Mus musculus: one gene and its partner. The protein of the gene in region 1 purifies or fractionates together with the protein of each later gene. This does not show direct contact. Links are inferred from orthologs where the notes say so. Each region holds a gene or a part of one and is shown in the gene's direction. Other genes may lie near its edges.

What was found.
Region 2: the proteins of Fbxo10 (region 1) and Acsl4 purify together in Homo sapiens (affinity purification with western blotting; 3 studies listed by BioGRID, with this or other methods). This does not show direct contact. The link is inferred for Mus musculus from reciprocal best matches to the Homo sapiens genes FBXO10 and ACSL4.

What each region holds. Positions count from the first base shown.
Region 1 is NC_000070.6:45,079,519-45,090,069, reverse strand, and holds the start of Fbxo10 (F-box only protein 10), read left to right. Parts: upstream 1-5,465; 5' UTR 5,466-5,580; intron 5,581-10,551. UniProt on the Homo sapiens protein: Substrate-recognition component of the SCF (SKP1-CUL1-F-box protein)-type E3 ubiquitin ligase complex. Mediates the ubiquitination and degradation of BCL2, an antiapoptotic protein, thereby playing a role in apoptosis by controlling the stability of BCL2.
Region 2 is NC_000086.7:142,384,175-142,394,627, reverse strand, and holds the start of Acsl4 (long-chain-fatty-acid--CoA ligase 4), read left to right. Parts: upstream 1-4,092; 5' UTR 4,093-4,323; intron 4,324-10,453. UniProt on the Homo sapiens protein: Catalyzes the conversion of long-chain fatty acids to their active form acyl-CoA for both synthesis of cellular lipids, and degradation via beta-oxidation. Preferentially activates arachidonate and eicosapentaenoate as substrates.

The sequences.
Region 1 (10,551 bases):
ATCATAGGTATATAGAAAGAATTTAAAAAAAAAAACCTAGATATAAAAAACAATCACCAAATAACCTAATTTTAAAACGGGGTAGAGACCTCAACCAATCCTCAATAGTGGAAACACAAACGGCTAGAAACATCCTTAGCCGTCAGTGAAATGCAAATCAAAAGTACTTTAGGATTTCATCTTTGTTATTTTTGTTTTGTTGTATTTTGTTTTGTTTTGTTTTGTTTTTGAGACAGGGTTCCTCTGTGTAGCAAGCCTTGCCTGTCCTGGACTTGCTCTGTAGACCAGGCTGGCCTCCAACTCACAGAGAACTGCCTGCCTCTGCCTCCTGAGTGCTTAAGTTCGTCAGAGTGGCTAAGATCAGTAAAACAAGTGACCGCTCCTGCTGGTGAGGATGTAGAGTAAAGGGAACATTCCTCCATCGCTAGTGGGATGCAAACTTGTACAGCTACTATGGTAATCAGGGTGGTGGTTCCTCAGGAAGATGGGAATCGATCAACTTCAAGATCCAGCTACACCACTCTTGGGCATACACCCAAAGGATGCTTCATCCCACCACAGAGACACTTGCTCAACCATGTTCATTGCTGCTCTATTCATAATAGCCAGAATTGGAAACAGCCTAGCAGTCCCTCAAGAGGAGAGTGGATAAAGAAAATGTGCTACATTCACACAATGGAGTACTCTTCAGCTGTTAGAAAAATATAACATCCTGAAATTTGCAGGTGAATGGATGGAAATAGAAAGAAAAATCTCCCTAGGGAAATATAGCTAATTACGGATGCGGGGGGGGGGGGGGAGGCGCTGGAGTGAGTGGACCAAGTGGAGAGGAGGAGAGAGGAGAGACAGCTAAAATCAAGACCCTCTGACAGGTAGAATGAAAATCTAAGCAATAGAAGCTTCCTGAAATGTATACAGATATGAAGGGGATGAAGGGGATTAAATAATGGGGAGACAGAGTCCCAACTCTTCATCTCACCACCAAATGAAGCCTCCAGTACTGGGATTGGGTTACATCTAATTGAGTTGTTGGCCAAAGGGATCTCATGGGAATCCCCAGACGTCCCAGGCTGTTGCCAGGACTCTAAGGCTGCGCTCCACAAACTGACAGCAAGGCCCCACGGCTGAAGAAAAAACCTACACAATCCACTGGACATGGAGAAGCTGAGCTGAGACCTACAGAGCCTTCACTTCTATGTTCCAGCGGCTTTGGTTACAGGAAGGTACTCTGCATGCCACCAAAAAAGACATACGAACAAACACCAAGCCAGCCACAAGCCCTTTGATGGACAGTGGGATTCTGAAAGATGTGCCAGGCAGTGGTGGCACAAAGCTTATGGGAGTAACCAACCAAATAGCTGGTTTCACTTAGGGCCCGTCCCACAGAAAGGACCCATACCTGACATGGCTTGGGTGCCCAAGAACCAGAGGCTAGATATAAGGTAAAATAGAATGCTACTAGACTATTAAAAAATGTAGTAATAAAATGACTCCTGGGAACATTCTGCTATACTTAGCTCAGTGTCTGATTCAGCCGCTGGGGAAGCCTCCTTCAGCAGCAGATGGAAACACATACAGCAGAGAGTCACAGACAGACATTATGCAGAGAGTGAGAGACCTTGGAACACTCCGCCCCGAGTGGGATGTCTCCACCAAATCCTGCCCCTCTGGTCTTGGTCTTAGGGAACCCCTCAGAAGAGGATGCGGAAGAGTGTAGGAGCCAGAGCAGATGCACCAGGAAAACAATGTGACCAAAACTCCTATGAAGGCTGGAGATGGCTCAGTGGTTAAGAGCACTGACTGCCCTGCGAGAGGTCCTGAGTTCAATTCCCAGCATCCACATGGTGACTCACAATCATCTGTACTGGGATCCAGTGCCCTCTTCTGGTGTCTGAAGACAGCCACAGTGTACTCATGTACATAAAAATAAATAAGTCTTTCCTCCTGTCCATCTCCAATGTGATAGATAGGGTTTGGCTTTTTTAAGTTACTATATTTTATTTTGTTATATTTTATTATTGTCCCTTAGGGACAAAAGCCTGTTTGTTGATGCTGTTGTCTTTTTTAATATATGTGATTTATTTATTTTTATATATGTGAATACACTGTCACTGTCTTCAGACACACCAGAAGAGGGCATCAGATCCCATTACAGATGGTTGTGAACCACCATGTGGTTGCTGGGAATTGAACTCAGGACCTCTGTCAGGGCAGTCAGTGCTCTTAACCTCCGAGCCACCTCTCCAGTCTGTTGTTGTTGTTTCTAATGAGAGACAAAAGAGAATGGATCTGGATGGTAGGGGATGTGGGAGGAATTGGGAGGAGTAGCGGGAGGGGAAACCATAGCCAGGATATATTGTATGAGAAAACAATCTACTTTCAATAAAGGGAGAAAAAATGAAGACGAAGAGCTTTTGAGAAAGATGCTCAACGGTGACTTCTGGCCCTTTCTCCTCCCATGGACATGTACATACATGTACAAACACACACACACACACACACATACATATACCACAGAGACATAGAAAGAAAGAAAAAAAAAGATATAGCAGATGTACAATGATATTTCTGCTTTTGAAACTGGATGTTCTATTGGCAGCCGCCTCCCCAGGCAGCCGCTCAATGTGTTTATTTTCAGCTTCCATAAAAATTCAGTTAAGAAACTGATATGGAGACATGGATACATAATGTAAATATTGTGGGTTGTTGGAACATAGAGATATGCATGTGGAAAGAACACTAGAATCTGGAGTTCACAGTCCTGAGTAACAGCTTCAGCTTCCTAATATAAATTATGGGAGTCTGAGTTTTTAGTTGTAAACATTAAAATCCAACTTTGGCAGTCGTGAGGAAAAATATTTTATTAGAAATTGTGATGGTTTGTATATCCTTGGACAAGGGAGTGGCACCATCTGAAGGTGTGGCCTTGTTGGAATAGGTGTGGCCTGGTTGGAATGGGTGTGTCACTGTGGATGTGGGTATAAGATCCTCACCCTAGTTGCCTGGAAGTCTTCCACTAGCAGCCTTTGGATGAAGACATAGAACTCTCAGCTCTGCCTGTGCCATGCCTGCCTGGATACTGCCATGCTCCCACCTTGATGATAATGGACTGAACCTCTGAACCCGTAAGCCAGCCCCAATTAAATGTTTTTTATAAGACTTGCCTTGGTCATGGTGTCTGTTCACAGCAGTAAAACCCTAACTAAGACAGAAATATAAAGGGAATTTGAGGATCACCAGGAAATCTAGAGAATCAGGCTAGGATGCCAGGTAACTGGAACACCACTATTTGCTGACCATTGGATCCCACTGGAGGGATGCAAGCTCACAGCTTTCAGGGTACCCAATGATGCTCTAGTCAAGCTGCTGGTGTTGCTTTGGAGCTGTTACATAACATGTAGGCCTCAGTTCTGCACAGGGAATGTTTATTTGTACAATTAGAGTTAAGTGGGAAGACAGAACCGATCTAGAGTTTCAACTTCCATAACAAAATACCTGGTTTGGTTCTCAACAAGCTCATCATTGAAGACCCCCCGTAAGGTAGGAAGAGAGCTGAGACCCGCAGGCAGCCGAAAAGGATGATAGCTGTTGGGTTACCTGTGGCCAAATGACTCTGCCTGAGTCTAATCTCTCTATAAAGCAAAAGTCTACATGGCCGTGGAGACTGTATGTGCCCTCGTTCATTTGCTATAAATACGAATGACATGCCAGGCTGCTAAGGTGAGCAAGCCCACTCCAGTCAAATGAAGTAGAGAAGTCAAGAGACAAGAGCATTACACACATGGTGGGATGGAGGCCTGCGCCAGACAGATGAGGGTAAGAAGAGAGGAGCAACCAGTCGCTTACAAATACTGTTCTTGTGCACAGACATGCATGTAGCCAAAGCACACTTACGCATAAAATAAAAATAAGTAAATCTTAAATAAAACGCCACTGTCTTGACGTTTAAATGTTTATACAAGAAATAAAATCCCCCCGCCCCCGTGGCACCTTTGGACAGATGAAGAAGACAGACAGCATGCTGTGTTAGACGGGCCCCATTGTTGTCCTTTGAATGTCCTAACCTTTTTAGAGAAATGCCAACACAAACAATAATGTTTGATAGCACAAATCCAGGAACTCAGGCTTTTAATTGGGTATTGAAATTCATATTCAGCCTGCTGGTTTCATACAATGGGCCACTTTTCAAAGGATTAGACGTGCGATCGGTTTGCCAAACGTAAGCGACGTCTAAGCATGGCCTTTCCACTACATCTGTGTGCTTGCTGAACAGCTCTCGGTCAGCATTCAATTGTTGGGTTTGGGTCTAGGTGTTTTGTTTGGGGTTTAAACAAATGAATCGTTGAAGGCTGGGATGTAGGGGGGTACAGGGGGTACAGGGGGGTAGCACTTGCTCAGCATGTGCAAGACCCTGAATTTGCCTTAACCACTGCATAAAACAACACCCCCCCCAAATTTGACTTTACTGCAAAACTGTCTCAGATCCGTGTGTGTGCCCCCATATCCACTTCCAGTACTTCAGGCCAGTCTCTACTTCTCTTGTCTTCTCAGCACAGAGTATCGAACACCTGCATTCTCCCCCTTCAATGGCTTCCTTTATCATGGCTTATGAAATACTGATGACCTCTAATACCCTTTTATCTAAGACCTCGGGATGGTGGGATACAGGGTTGGAGAGACAGCTTACTAGTCAGGAGGTTTATTGCTCTTGCAAAGGATCCACTTGGTGGCTCACAACTGTCTATATTCAAGTTCCAAGGGCTCCGGCTCCCTCTTCTGGCTTCCAGGGCCCCCTGTGTGCACATAAATCAGGTGCATAAAATACGCATAAAAGTAAAAAAAATCTACAAAAAAAATATTTTTTCTTAGGAGTCGTCTTGTCTCCCTCAGCGCAGGAGCTTTCTCTGGCCTCTTTCACATAGCTACTCTCATGAGGTCATCACATTCCTCAAACCCTAGTTTTCAACCAAAGAGCTCTTTTCATGTACTTCATATAATTTTAAATACATATGGACTTAAACAGCTTTTCCGGTTTATCCTCTCCGCCACAGAGTGGATTTCAGAACAGGAGCCACCACCGCTTTGTTCTCTTGGGCCCATAACTAGTAGTTGGTGCAACAGGTACTACACACATCATTTGCGTTGTGCCAAACGTTTTCCACACAACCCACCCATGGCCCCAAGTCCTTCCTGACTTCTAGCTGGGCTCAGGGTGACTCCAGCTCCTATGTGCTCATATGCACGGAGCCCAGGGTGCTGTTAGGCTATAGTGGTGATGGGAAGGATCCGCCCGCTTCCAGGCCCCTAGGAGCCTCCGGCAGTTCCCGCCCACGATGCTGTTCCCACCCCTTCGGAGGCCACGCTCGCCCTCCATCGCCGAGCCCCGCTCGCCCCGCCCTCCTTCCAGTCTCACGGCCGCGCGCGCTCGCAGGCCAGCCCTACACCCGCGTCACGTGACAGCCACCGGGGGCGGGGCTCGCGGCGAAGTCGGACCCCGCTGTGGCCGAGCGCCGCAGTCCTCCGGCAGCCCTGCGGCTTCCAGGGCGTCGCGGCCGCGGCCGGGCAGCGCCGCTCCCTGAGGTAAGAGGCGCAGGAAGGAGGCTTCTCGGGAGCCCGCGGATGCTCCAGGCTCACCGGCCGCTCGGTCCCTCCGTGGGCCCAGCGTTTGGCTGGGGTGCGGGGACCGGGCCTGGGGGCACTGCGGGAGGTGGGGGGCCTCGGCTGCCGGAGCTCCGGGAGAGCTGTGCCCCCGTCCGCCCCCACCCCGGACCCACCCGCGGTCGCCTCCAGCCCCAGGGCTTTGCAAGTGTCTGAGAGAATGAATGCGATTTTGCGGTTTGCTAGCCTTCACCTGGGATGCAGGAGAGAGCGTGCAGTCGCGCACCCAGTGGGTCTGGTTTTAACAAGTCGCGGAGACTCGGTTTCCGCAAATCTTTGAAGGAAGAGGGGACGACCCCCTGCCCGGCCTCCCTCCTGCACTGATGGCAGAGCCGTTTGGAGAGCCAGAACTCCGGAGTTGGTGTTAGTTCCATCCACCACCCACTAGCCAGGCAACCTTGAGCCACGTCGGTGGTGCTTCTGTTAAAAGTAGAGATGATGTAAATGAGCTAAATACCTAATAAAAAATGGAAAAAAAAAATAAATAAATAAAAGTAGAGATGAATTCTTCGGCCCGAGGTTGCTGTGAGGATTAAGCAGGAAACGTTGAGGACTCCTTAGAGAGCACTCTCCGTGTGAGCATTGTTAAAATAGCAATCTAGGAGTCCATGATAGACGTCTTTCTCGCAGTAAGCACACCGTCCTCTGTGAATGTGATTCTGAAAAATGTGTCGTTTTGGCTGAGGAGCCCTCTCCCCTTTCCCAGGCCCCCTTTGCCTTCTGTTTCATATTGGCATGTGAACCTGTTGTTCCTACCGAATGAGTCAGGCAGGATGGGAACGCTAATTTACTTGAGCAGATGGGTATCAGATTCCCTCTGAGGGGAAAGAAAACTGTCAGGCATGTGCTATCACAAAAAAAAAAAAAAAAAAAAAAAAAATACAGTAGGGTGATTGACTGTCTACTGGAAGATGCCTAGGAGCCCATGGAATCCAGCCGTCTCCTGCACACAGAGAAGCTAGACCAAGAACGAGGCCAGGACTTTGATTTTGCTCAGCCATCAACACTGTTGGCCTTGGGTAGTAGAAAGAATGCTTGAGCTTGCCTATGTTCTAACTCAACTGTTCGTTTATTCTGGCAACAAGATCCAGACAATGGTGTCTGCCCCCATGGAGCTGTTTGCATAGCTAGCTATGTTAGTTATATAAAAGTCTGTATGTGCACACACAGGTGTGTGTGTGTGTGTGTGCGCGCGCGCGTGTGCTCACGTGAGTCCATGTCTGTGTGTGTCTGTGCCCCTCTGCTGGTTTGCGGTATGTTTTATGATAACAATAAGCTTTCAGCTCCCAGAGAGCTGGCCTCATAGCATCTGGCCCCAGGAGACCAGCACACAGGAGAGGCTTGAATTGTTTCATGATCCCTGTCAGGTCTCCAGTCCTGGTGGAAGCTTGCTGAGATTTGGAGACGGGAGAAAATGGCACACTTTGTCAGAGCTTTTAGGAAAGGATTTCCTCTGGCTTGGAATGCCTGGATTTCTTTGTCTCTCTGGTCTCTGGCCTCTTATTGTTTTTAGATATCTAAAGAGAGCAGCCCTCAACACGGTGCCTTCATTTTGGTTTCCATGGTTATCAGGGGAATTACGTTTACATGATGGCACCGGTAGCTATTGAGCTGTGTGGCCAACCACCAGTCACTCGTCTGTCGTTCTGGCTTGTTTCGTTTTTTTTTTTTTTTCTTTTTCCAGTTGCAGTGCAGACATATTCTCCCTTTTCTTATTTCCTCCTTTCCTCCTGCTCTTCAACAAGTGACAGTGTGAAGAGGGATGGGATGGGAATGAGAGCCAATGAAATAAAGATAGACATGGGAGAATGTAGAATCCTTTTTTGGCCCATCCCATTGGTGGTGGTGATAATGGTGGCAGCAGTGGTGGTGGTGATGATGGTGGTGATGATGCAGATGCGGAGCTGTGGTATAAGACTAAGGGTATCGTCAGGTGCGAGGGTCAGGTCCGTGGACCTCTGGAAAGATGCAGATGGTGAATCAGCCTGAGCTCGCAGAGGCAGACAGACAGTGTCCTGGGCAACAAGAATGCCTCACCTGCTTTTCAAAGGAGATGAGAGAGAAACGTATTCCTTTAATGGGCCGCAGTCACAGAGGGATTACCACATAGCACAGTAGCATTCGTGCCCTGAGTTTCCATTAATGGATGAGCCGCCTCTCTTTTTTTGGGGGGGGGGGTGGGGGTGGGAGGGAGGTTTTGAGACAGGGTTTCTCTGTGTAGCCCTGGCTGTCCTGGAACTCACTCTGTAGACCAGGCTGGCCTCCAACTCAGAAATCCGCCTGCCTCTGCCTCCCAAGTGTTGGGATTAAAGGCGTGCGCCACTACTGTCCGGCTCGCTGTTCCTTCTCCAAGTCGCCTGTCCTGGGCTTTGTGTGAACGAGCTACGGATTCTCCTGTCAGCTTGGGGATTTGTTTCCCTACTCACCTAACGTAATGGGGTTGTTAACATAAAGGGGCACTAGAGTAACACCTGTGTATGAGCCATTTGTTTCGGGTGAGATGTTTAACCAGTGTGTCTAATCTCTCAAGTTGGCCACCTGACTGACACAGTCACATATTGGTTTATTTTTTTCTAGTATTCTGCCAAGTAATCCAAGGCCTTCATTAGTAAGGATTCTAAACTCTCTGGAGGCTTCTGTTGCCCAGAGGGGTCCTTCTTGTCACTCTCAGAGGAGAGAGAGCTGTGAGTGCTGCACCCAACTGTTATCTCTGACCGCCGTGTGATGTCACTGGAAGAGCTGCCCCGCACAGTCCAAGGATGTGTAGTAATTGCTGCTCAGTGTCCTTTAGGGACCAGATCCCTGTCAGTTAGTCGGATCCCTGCCAGTCAGATCCCTGCCAGTCAGTCGGATCCCTGCCAGTCAGTCAGATCCCTGCCAGTCAGTCAGATCCCTGCCAGTCAGTCAGATCCCTGCCAGTCAGTCTGATGCCTGCCAGTCAGTCGGATCCCTGCCAGTCAGTCAGATCCCTGCCAGTCAGTTGGATCCCTGCCAGTCAGATCCCTGCCAGTGCCAGTCAGTCAGATCCCTGCCAGTCAGTTGGATCCCTGCCAGTCAGATCCCTGCCAGTTAGTCAGATCCCTGCCAGTCAGATCCCTGCCAGTCAGTCAGATCCCTGCCAGTCAGATCCCTGCCGGTCAGTCAGAACCCTGCCAGTCAGTCGGATCCCTGCCAGTCAGTCGGATCCCTGCCAGTCAGTCAGATCCCTGCCAGTCAGTCGGATCCCTGCCAGTCAGTCAGATCCCTGCCAGTCAGTCAGATCCCTGCCAGTCAGTCAGATCCCTGCCAGTCAGTCAGATCCCTGCCAGTCAGATTCCCTCTGGACTCTCAGGTTAGAGCTTTCTTTAGTTCCCAAAGCACCACTTCCTGGGCCTTGAATTGAGCTTGCTCCTAGGCTGACTTCTTCTATCCTTCAGGGGTCACCGCTCGTCACTGAGATTTCCTCCCGCCCCTTTCAAGTCTTTTATCTGAATTTAAGGCCTCCATCGCCCTTCCTTTTCCTATGCTTAACCCGAGTGAGTCCCTTTGGTAAACTAGTTCTGCTTTGTCATGGGGTTTTACCTAAGCAGAGATCCTCAGGAATGGCAGTTTTCAACACGCCACCCAGGTCGTTAGGTACCTCTTTCAGCCTTGTTCTCCCAAGTGCAAAAAGGATCTTCGGGTGATTCTTGACAAAGCATCCATGTGTTCCCAGGCGACTGTTTCCACCTGCAGTCTTAGGTGAGGCAATTGCAAACATCCTCAGCTCACCCCCTGCTTTAGTGGAGGTGGGGCATGCTTGCAATCTCATCACTCTATAGGGTAGGGCAGGAGGATCAAGAGCTTAGGTCCACCCAGGCTTCGTGAGACTTTACTGAAAGAAAAATGAAAAAGAATATGCTCTACTGAAAGCAAAGCGTGTTTGGTATATGCAGTGTTAGGAGTTTGGGAACCAAGGTTTTAAATTGAAGACAAAGGATTGCATCCAGGCAAGGTGACACTATCATCCCAGCTCTTGAAAGACTGAGGCAGGAGGATTTCTTGAGCCTAGGAGTTTGAGTAAGTATGGCAAGATCTCAATCCAGAAACAAACAAAAGCCCGGTTAGGAGGGTTTTTGTTTGTTTTGTTTTGTTTTGTTTTTAATGATGGTTTTTATGTTCTTTCAATTTTTCTAAGAATCAGTATGTTTATTTCACTATCTTTGTTTTGAACATTTTTTTACTCTGAAAGATAATATATACAGATGTGGCACAGATGTATAGTTTGGCAAATAGTAGTGAGGTAAGTCACAGTGTAAACACTGCAGCCTTAAGAAATGGAGTGTGGTCAGAGCTTCCTTCCAAGCCTGAGCTCCTCCCCCAGAGGCTGCCATCTTGACCTGTGGATGGCCGTCTCTTTGTCACATGCCTTGTGTGTGTGCATCTATCTCTACACAGTGCCGTTTAGTTTAACTCCATGCGTGTGAGATCACCCTGTCTGTATCCTGGGTTTTGCTGCTTTTGCTCAGTGTGTCACTGGTGTGATTAGGTCACAGTAAGTTCAGTCAGCAGTGGGTGGGCACTGGGTTACCAAGGACGTTTGCAAACATAGTCTCTCTTTCTTTTTTAAAAGATTTATTTATTTTTATGTATTTATCTGAGTACACTGTAGCTGTCTTCAGACACCCCAGAAGAGGGCATCAGATCCCATTACAGTTGGTTGTGAGCCACCATGTGGTTGCTGGGATTTGAACTCAGGACCTCTGGAAGAGCAGTCAGTGCTCTTAACCACTGAGCCATCTCTCCAGCCCTAGTCTCTCTCTTTTAAATTGCATTTACTCATTTGTTTGTGTAGCGGTAGGAGACTTGCATAAGGTGGGTTCCCAGGATGGACCTCAGATCATCAGGCTTGCCTCCTGACCCTGTCTCTGGCCT
Region 2 (10,453 bases), on another chromosome or scaffold:
GTCTACAGAGTGAGTTCCAGGACAGCCAGGGCTATACAGAGAAACCCTGTCTCGAAACCAAAAAAAAAAAAAAAAAAAAAAAAAAAAGATGTGGCCCCTAGTAAACTGAGCAAGCCCTAGGGACTGGTCCCACCACATGAGTACATAAGTGGTACCCATAGGAATCAGTGGGTTATAAAAACAAGAGATGAAGTTGGGAGAGGGGATAGGAAGTGGAGAGGTAGATCCAGGAGGGGTTATGGCGAAGTGTGTGTGTTTGTGTGTGTGTGTTGGGGTGAATATGATCAAACTCTCCATGTGTTTGAAATGCTCCAGAAATTAGTAACAATATTATATATTTTAAAACCTACTGTCTTTATAGATTAACTTGGCAATACCCAAGTCACTAGACAAATCAGCATCATTAAACGTCCTATTTTAAAGCATTAGACGGATTTCCATTTGCTTAGGTTTGTGCAGTGAGTCTGAAGACCAGTGAAATATATCAGGATAAAAATAAATGACTATGAGAAAAGATAAAACAATGTTCAAAATAATACTTATATCTAATCAGTATACCTTTGACCATTTTTGTGGTTTTCATTTGATAGAGGAGACCAAACCCAGAGACTTACTGGACTGTGCCTTCAGCCCTGATTTTGAGCACTTTTGAAAAGTCAAAAAGTTTAGTTTATTATTTCGTTCCCAGTGAGATCACCTCCTGAGGTTTCTGGTTTCACTAGTTGCTTCACACACACCACTAAAGAAAATATTTTGCCTGGTTATCAGGTCTGTAAAAATAAAGTTTGTTAATGGCAAACTCTAACATAATTTGTATATTCAAATATTATCACAAAGTCCTGCTGCTTGTATTTGGGCTCCAGGAGGAAATTATTATTCTAGTAACTCAAGAAGTAAGTTTAAGATGCAGACTTGGTACGTAGTGAAGAACAGTTGTTTTCTGTCCTTCCATAAATAACTAATGCCAAGAGCAGGCTGGCTATCTGTTTCAGCTTCTTATTACACGAGAGCAAAGCTACCAGGCACTAAATATCCATTTAAAAATCTGCTAACAGAGCGGCCTTGTTCAATTCCATTTAGCTTCTAGAAGCTTTATTTTTCTATACTTTTTTGAAAAAGGGCTTTGAAATGAATTTTTAACATTAGCATACTTAGAAGTAGGTTTCATTAGGACATTTTATACATATTTGTATATGTATAAAATAGTGTATGCACTTATTTGTCTCTCTGTCCTACTGTCCTCAGTCCTTCTTCTCAGTACCTCTTCTGTTTTTTTTTCTTTTTTTTTTGTCATGCCTATGCCTTTTTTTTGTGTTGTATTTTGTATCTTGAGAGTTGCAGCTTGTATTTTCCTTCCTTTTCCTTTGTCTCTAACTTGATTTTGGTGGGATGTTATTGAGTCTACTTTCCAGCAAGCCTCTGGGAGTGGTAGGAATTCCAAGCTCTATTACTAGTTAGGTTTGTGACTGGACACATTGTTTCATTTGCATCTGTCTCCTCATCTTTCAAAGACAGTAATCTTCCATCCTCAAAAGGCATAAAAAAGTTGTAACTGCTCTCAAACCTCAGACAGCTGCCCCGGGAGGGAGGAATGTTTGCTCTGGGGTCATAAGTCTTTCGCTCTGGGGTCATAAGTCTTAGATGGCTTCTCTTGCTTCCCTTTTGTCCCTCCCTCCCTCCCTCCAGTCTTTCCTTTCATTGTCAATATATATAGTGTGATCTTGAGATAGGCTTTCCTTTTGTAGCTCAGGCTGGCCTCAAACTTAGATCTGTCTTAGTGTACAGAGCTGGGATCACAGACCTGTGCCACTTCTCCCTGCTCTTAGTTTTGTTCTTCTTTGACACAGTGTCTCCCCTCCCCCCTCCTCTCTTTGATTTTTCAAGACAGGGTTTCTCTGTGTAGCCTTGGCTGTCCTGGAACTCACTCTGTAGAGCAGGCTGGCCTTGAACTCATGGATCTACACCTGCTTCTGCCCCCCAAGTACCAGGATTACAGAAGTGTGCCACCATGCCTGGCTATTTTACCTCTTGTTGGAGTAATGTTTTTTCTTTATCCTGGGTGTGGTTAAATATGAAGGAAAAGATCTGGTAGGTGATAAAGCTGACCAGGACATTGTGGGCACTAATTAATAGTTTAAGTGATAAAGATTTTGAAAATACAAGTAACTTCTTGGTCCGATATATATGTGTGCGATACACACACACACACACACACACACACACACACACACACATACACACACACACACTCACACTCAAAACCTGATAGCTTTTCTCCTCTATTTAGTCCTTGTAAATTTTGAGGGACTTCTGTAAGCTGAGGACTACTGAGTTCAGAAGAGTTAATTAAAAATGTCTGGGCTACGTGACTGATGATGAAGGAAACTAGAAAAGGTATTTATATTACAAGTTCTTTTTCTGCTTGGGCTAACAGGTTGATTTATATCGAACACTGGGTCTGTGTGGTACTTTTGTTTTAATTCCATTACGAAACTCTAGGTTTGTTGGAGGAATAGATGGTTTGTTCCTTCAATTTTTTTTTTTTTTGGTATTAACTCTGGGATAAATGACAGGTTTCTGTACACTGTAGGTACCTAGTGGACTATATAGCCAACTAATAATTATCTGTTTCTGGCATTACAACAAGGTCTCATAAAAATAAAGATGACAATTAAGTTTGTTGTTTGAAGTCCTGAACTTTCTAGGTCAATCTTGTGAAAGGAAAAGCACATGAGTGCCTTATACCCAAGTTGGTGGCTCTATTGGAAATGAAATGAGTGCTACAGCTGTAGAACAACATTCAAACAAGCTGGACATTTCTGCTCTCAGCCAGGCACACTAATACTGTCATTCGGGGTGCTTCTTCTTCTTCTTCTTCTTCTTTTTTTTTTTTTTTTTTTTTTTGGCTTTTCGAGACAGGGTTTCTCTGTGTAGCCCTGGCTGTCCTGGACCTCACTTTTGTAGACCAGGCTGGCCTCGAACTCAGAAATCCGCCTGCCTCTGCCTCCGGAGTGCTGGGATTAAAGGCGTGCGCTACCACGCCCGGCAGGGGTGCTTCTTAAAAATCCAAAATTAAAAAATTTCACCAAATCAAAACCCACATCAAAACATCTGAGGATTATTTCTCCAGGTATTCCCATTGGAACAAACATCCCAGATGATTATGACACACAAAGCCTAAAGCACTACTGAAGCCAGCAATGTGAGGCAAGCTATTGTACGTGTGTGTAGCAGACACAGTCATTCTGTAAGAGAAATGAAAAGTAGCTAGTAAAACAGCCGTAACAGGAAGCAAAAAAGCAGCCGGTCATGGAACTGGAAGAATAGAATTTCTTCTGGCAACTTATTCTTGGTAGTTTGTTGTGGCTTATTATTCGCAATTACAGTTTTGTCTTGAAGTCCTGAGATACCTTTTGGAATTTATTACGAACAATAATTTCTCAATTCTTGGGGGGATTAAAATGGCCTTTATCAAGAAGTCTCAGAAGCAATAGAATCTCACGGTACTGCACTGACTTTTTATCAGTTGTGGGCTCTTTTGCTGAGTGACGCGCAAAACCCTGCCTTCAGGAAATATTTCATAAGCCCGAGTGAGCAGGGAATCTTAATACAGCTCAAGGCAACAGATAAAAGGATAGAAGGCTTTGGCTTTCAGGAGCTAGGTTAAGATCTCTCTCCCATAGGAAGCACGAGGCAGTCCAAAGATAGGTATCTAACTAAGGGCAGCTGGAAGATGACCCCGGGGGAACTTTCATCCTGGGTGGAGTCCCGGGTAGCCCGCTAGGGCGTGGGCCAGTTCTGCGGCTCTAGACTACTGGGCGCTAAGCCCTCGTGGGCTATTTTGCCCAGCACTGCGGGAGCGGCATGGTGGCTGCGGGCTCAAGGGAGGCTTTAGGCGACCTGCGACCCTTCGGAAGCAGCCCTCCTCCTTTGCAGCAGCTGCAAGCCCGATCGGGCTCCGCCTTTTTGGCGGTGACGTCCTTAGTGAGCGGAGGCGGGCGTGTGGGTGGGCCGAGCCAGAGGCCGCCTGCGATTCGGCGGGCTCAGCCACACCACCGAGCTCCCCCGCTCCGCCCGCCCCTCCGGGCTCGTCTTTTCCGGGCTCGCGCCGGACCCCGCCTCCGCTGGCTGTCCGGGTTGCGCGCGCGCCGCTGCGGCTCTCTCCCTCTCTCTCTCTTTTTTTTTCCACTGGTCTCCGCGGCTCGCCCCTCCTTGCCAGGCAGCTCCAGAGCTAGCGGGCACGCGAGCTCCTCTCCAGGAGCTTCCTTCCTCTTAAGGCCGGGACCCAGTGGCAGACTCGTAGCGAGCGAGGCAGCACCTTCGGTGAGTGATCCTAGGCTGGGGAGGATGCGGCTGCTGCGCCCTTGCCCCGGAGAGTCCCCTATTCCTGACGTGCTCCCGGATCCTCACCTGAGCCGGCTGGAGGTCGGGGTTTGGGGGGTGGGGGTGGGCGCTCGGCTTTCCGGCTGCGGCCGCTGGCTCATGGAGAGAACCACCGTCACTATCTCCTCTGATGCTTTCTGGGATCCTCCAGAACCCCACCTGGCTCTTCCCTGTACCCCCGCTGTACCCTGAGAGCCTGAGAGAACTCTTCCTCCTGGGGGTACCGGGCTTTGCCAAGACTCAGTTGACTTGAGCACACCAAGTGCCTGCTAGACCTCCAAACGACCTTTAGGTCGCCCCTAGACCTCAGCTCCATTTTGTCCCCTCCCTTGACACTCTGTAACAGGGTCCGGGCGCTCGCGGGTGGTGGTGGCGGCGGCGGCGGTGGTGTCTTTGGTTCTAGAAACAGCTGCTTTCTTGAATTTGGGGAGGGTGCCTTCGCTTTCGATAGATACTCTCTCAGCATCCATACCTTTACGTATGTTAGCAAACAGCTGGATCATAGCTGCAGCTTGTACCCTGTGTTCTTCCCGTCTTTATCTCCACGATCAGTAGGTGCTGTATAGTTAATATTAGGTTTATTCACTTCCTCTTCCTCTCATTCGAGTACCGAAAAGATCTGTGGCTGGCTGATGTCTATAGACAGAAAAACCTAGGAGAATGTGATTCATTGCCTAACTGGTTACATATTTGAAATCAGACGTCATTTCTCCTTTTACTCTAGCATCTCCTTCGAAGACATTTTTCCATCCTTTTGAAATTAATTTGCTCATTCGTACTTTTCCTCTTAAAAAAATCGTCAATTCTCACTCAGTAGAAACGACGGTAGGGATGGGAATAAGGGGAAATGAACCTTGTTGAAGAAGTAAGCAGTTTGCTTTACTGGTTCATGGTTTTAATCAACCACTAAGTTTCCTCTTCTGTGGAAATATGCTCAGCTGTCATGCAGTTGGATTCAAGCATAACCGAGGTTCCTTCTCATATTTTGTCTCTTGAACCTGTAAATTCATGCTTAGTGACATGTTTTTACAGATAGTTAACCCAAGAAAGCCATTTCCTGCACTTGTAACTTTAGTTTTTTGTTTTTTTTTCTTTTTGTACTTGCAGTAAGCAAGGCTTCCAAATATTCTTAATGTATAAACCACCAAGTGGAGATCAATTACAGTGCTGCTACTGAGCAGGTCAAGCAAAATTTGAAATGTGAGGCCTCTTTCCTTAAATTGCAAACATAGCTCATCTTTTCAGCGGAGTGTGCAAAAGTGTGAAACATGGTAGACTCCTGTTCAAATTTATGATCTCTGCCATTTCCATGGAGCAACCAGTATTATATTGTCAATATATGTGCAAATTGGGATAAAGGGCCTTGGCATCAATCAGATATAAAGAGTTTTACTGTGTTGGGTAGAGATGTGATGGGTGGAGGAAGAACAAAATCTTGTTCTGAATCCAGACTTCTGGAGATGCTCCAACTCCAGCCTCTCAGCTATACTAGCTATATACACCTTGAACAGGGCACTTTTCTTAGTTTTCACATATATAAATTAAGTGACTGTATGGTTGGCAGGATGATCCATAAATCCCCTCCTTTTGGCTTCCGTTTTTTAAAAAACTAAGATTTTTTTTATGAAGACATATGTATTTTAGTGCACTTCACATTAAGGCTGGGGCTGAATCTTGTTATATCATATATAGAATATCATCTCAAAGATGATAGAATATCATCTCAAAGTTTTCATAGACTAGCTTTAATCAATAGAGTATTAATTAGTTCTTAGCTCGGGTAGTGGTCCAGGACTTTAATCCCAGCACTGGGGAGGCTTAGGTATAGGTGTAGGTCAAGGTGGTGTGAGGCAGAGGCTAAGGCCAAGGCCAAGGCCAAGGCCAAGGCGGCGGGGGACTGAGGCGGAGGCGGGGCCCAGGCAGAGGAGGTGGAGGCTAAGGCAGAGATGGGGAGCAGAGGCTGGCAAATCTGAGTTTGAGTCAGATATCTAAATTAAAGGCTAGCCTGCTTTACACAGTGAGTTCCAGGAGAGCCAAAGCCAACACGGAGAACCATTGTCTCAAAAACAAAACAAAACAAAGGCCAAAACAAGATGATTAATTCTTAAATTCATTCCGACTGTTCAAGTGCATAAATTCAGAGGGAGTGAGTTTTACAAATATTAGGTTAATTTCTACTCGCAGATGAAAGGTATGGATGGGTACCACACTGGGTTGAAGATACTCATGACCTTTAGAATCTTGTAAGGGTGTGAACATACTGCCTTAAAATTGTAATTAGCTAGTAACTTTAAAAGTGTAAACAGAGGGCCTGGAGCGATGGTTTAGAGGTTAAGAGCAGTGGTTGCTCTTCAGAGGAACAAGGTTCAATTCTCAGCACACACATAGTGGCTCTCTTCCCTCTGTAGCTCCCAGTCTCAAGGGATTCAGCACCCTCTTCTGGCCTCTGTGAGCACTAGACATGCCTGTGAGCCACAGACAAACATGTAACTAAAACACCAATGTCCATAAAATAAAAATATTTAGCTGGTTATGGTGGTACATGCTTTTAAGCCCAGCACTTTTTGGGAGGCAGAAGCAGGCAGATTTGTGCTGCAAAGCCAGCCCAGTCTATGTAGAAAGTTCCAGAATAGCCAGGACAACATAGACCCTGTCTTAAACAATAATAATTAAAAATATATTTTAAAAACATATGCAGAGCTGAGCGGTGGTGGCACACACCTTTAATCCCAACACTTGGGAGGCAGAGGCAGGTGGATTTCTGAGTACGAGGCCAGCCTGGTCTACAGAGTGAGTTCCAGGACAGCCAGGGCTACACAGAGAAACCCTGCCTCAAAAAAAAAAAAAAAAAAAAAAAAAAAAAAAAAAAAAAAACAAACCAAACCAAACCCAAAACCCAAAACCCAAACAACAACAAAAACCAACCAATCAACCAAAAAACATATGCAGAAATCTCACTCATTCTATTTATAATTCATTCCACTCTCCTGTTCTTCAGGATGTGATGGTTAAGAGGACATCACTTATTCTATGAAATTGTAGACTAAGAGGATGGGTGGCGTGGTTTTAGTGAGACACATGGACATATAGTTTATTAAACTAGTAAGATTTAAGTTGGGATGAACAAAATCCCCTCAAAGTTAAGCCTTAATAGGGGCAGAAGAGATCATCATATTTTATTATTGGCTGTTTGTTTGGTTTCTCTGTGTAGCCTTGACTGCCCGGGAGGTCAACCTGCCTCTGCCTCACGAGTGCTGGGATTAAAGGTTGTACAACTATACCTTGGGCTCTACTGTTGGTTCTTTGTGGCGTTTCTTGTTCTCCTCCCCTCCTTGACTTTCCTTAGGAAAATTAATAAGCTTTGTTTTTCCATTCCTGCTGCTGGCTGATATCATACATTTTATACATTTTCCTTTTTTGATTATGGATTCTGGTATTGTTTTAGATTGTCATACAGTTATTAGGAATAATACCCCAAATCTGATTTCAACCAATGTTATTATCAAAAATAATCAGTATATAACAGGACAACTAAGAAGTTGAAATAAATACAGGGTGTCCATATTCACATTCCACCATTTTTTCTTTTCTTTTTAAAATTTTATTTTTACTCTTGATTTGTATGTATGTGTGCCTGCCACATGTGTGCAGATGCTTTCCCAAGCCAGAAGAGGGCCTCGATGCCTTGGAACAGGAGTCATAGGCATTGTGAGCTGCCCAACACAGGTACAAGGAGCTAACCTCTTGTCTGCAAGAGCAGCAGGCTCTCTTCACTGCTAAGGCATCTGCCGGCCTCACTATTTCAGCACCTTTAGCATGCACTTCTTGTGTGTTTTATTTAGTTCTGCACACTGGTAGCATGTGTTGCTGCTTTTTGGGATCACTGTAGGCAAGTAAGTCATAGAGCAGTTCTGTCCCACTAGGGGCACTTATGTTACCCTTTTATACTTACAGCCACCTCTTAGCTCTCACTGATGTGTTTCTCGGGTCTCTTGTCATTCCAAGAAAGCTAAGTAAATGGGGACACAGACTGTAACCATTTTAGATTGCCTCCTACCACTCGCCTAATTCTTGGAGAGTCATGAGATTTATATCCTTAATCAATAATCTGGTTCTTTTCACTAGTGAGTAGTATATATAGCATGCCATAGATGTATGTTTGACCTCTGATGCTTTCCATGTATGGGTGTACCTTTCCATGCCTAACAATACCATTGCCAGGTTATATAGTACTTGCATGCTTAGATTTCAAAGATTTCCACAAGGGCTACCTACCATTTGACATTCCCATTAGCAACTTTTTGTTTGTTTGTTTACTATATTTATGCTTTTTTTTTCTCCCCCAAGTTCTGGGACTAAAGGCATGGATTGCCTGGTTTAAGGTTGTACTTTTTTTTAACATTTAAAAATGAGTACACTATAGCTGTCTTCAGACACACCAGAAGATTGCGTCTGATCCCATTACAGATGGTTGTGAGCCACCATGTGGTTAGTGGGAATTGAACTCAGGACCTCTGGAAGAGCAGTCAGTGCTCTTAACCTCTGAGCCATCTTTCCAGCACCACGGTTGTACTTTTAATAACAGTTTTTCCCTTCCCTTTTCTCTAAATGTGCTCGTCTACCCCTTGCTGTTCTCCTTAAAATATGTGGCCTCTTTTTTATGTTTGCTCTCTCTCTCTTCTCTCTCTTACACACACACACACACACACACACACTTAACTATAATCTGTTGAGTCCCCCCCCCCCCCAACCTAAGTATCGCCAGAGGAGGGCAGAAAGTTTGTATGAGCCAGAGGATCAGGGAGTTTGCTAAGTGATGGTGTCTCCTAGCAACATCAGAAGTTATATCCCTAAAGTCTCATCAAGGCTACCACCCAAATGTGAGCTGAATAAGGCAGACACTAAAGAAAATACCAGCATGGGCAGGGCCTAGGCCTCAGCCTTGCTCACAACTACAGGTCACTGAGTAAAGCTGGGAGCAGGGACAGATCACGCCAGCTGTTCTCTAGTACCTAATGGTCAGCCCTGAGAATATACTGCTAAGTCAAAATGTAGCGACCTTACTTCCCCACTCACTCCTCCTCCTCCTCTATCTCACCCCACACACCATATATAGCCCGCCCACTTTGTGTCCCTCCCCTTTTTAAATAATCCATTGAGTGCCACAAATGCATGGGTGTGGTGCCATCCCTTGGTGCTTAGACAACCTACCAGGCTACTGCTAGGCCTTGAGTATAGCATTAGTTATCCCTTTGCCTGCTTCCCTGTTGGATTCTTTGAAATTGTCAAGTATTAAAAGTTCCATTGTATAGTGCAAGTACTGATGTTTTGTTGGTATATGGCTTGCAACTGTATTCTTTCACTTTGTGGCTCGTGTTTCCAACGTCCTCACAGGGAGTTTTCACAGGGAGTTTACAGTGACCACATTGCTTGCAGGAAAAATGTTAAGTTTTTTTTTTTTTTTAAATACATGGCCTGTGCTTCTGGTGTCAAGGGCATCTTATATACTTGTATTATTTACTTGTACTCCTTTGTGTTTTGCCTTGCATCCATCCTTCCTTTCTTTCTTTCTTTCTTTCTTTCTTTCTTTCTTTCTTTCTTTCTACTGTAAGCAATGTGCTCATTGTTTCATTTCGGAGCTCAGATGTGTTCTGTGGTAAGTGACTTTGAGCTTAGCATGTGGATCTGGTTATACATGGTTGTACCATACTAAAATGGGTGTTATCCTTACAACCTTAGCAGTTGCTAAATGCATCGTAGAACAGCCACACAATGGGTTTCACTTTCTAAATTAAAAGTGTTTTGGCAAAACTATAGGTTTTTTTTAGCAAAGTTTTTTTTTTTATTATCCAAAGCATAGATGTTTGTTGTCATTTGAAATAATTTTTTAAAGATTTATTTATTATATTTTATGTATGTGAGTACACTGTAGCTGTCTTCAGACACACCAGAAGAGGGCATCAGATCCCATTACAGATGGTTGTGAGCCACCATGTGGTTGATGGGAATTGAACTCAGGACCTCTGGAAGAGCAGTCAGTGCTCTTAACCGCTGAGCCATCTCTCCAGCC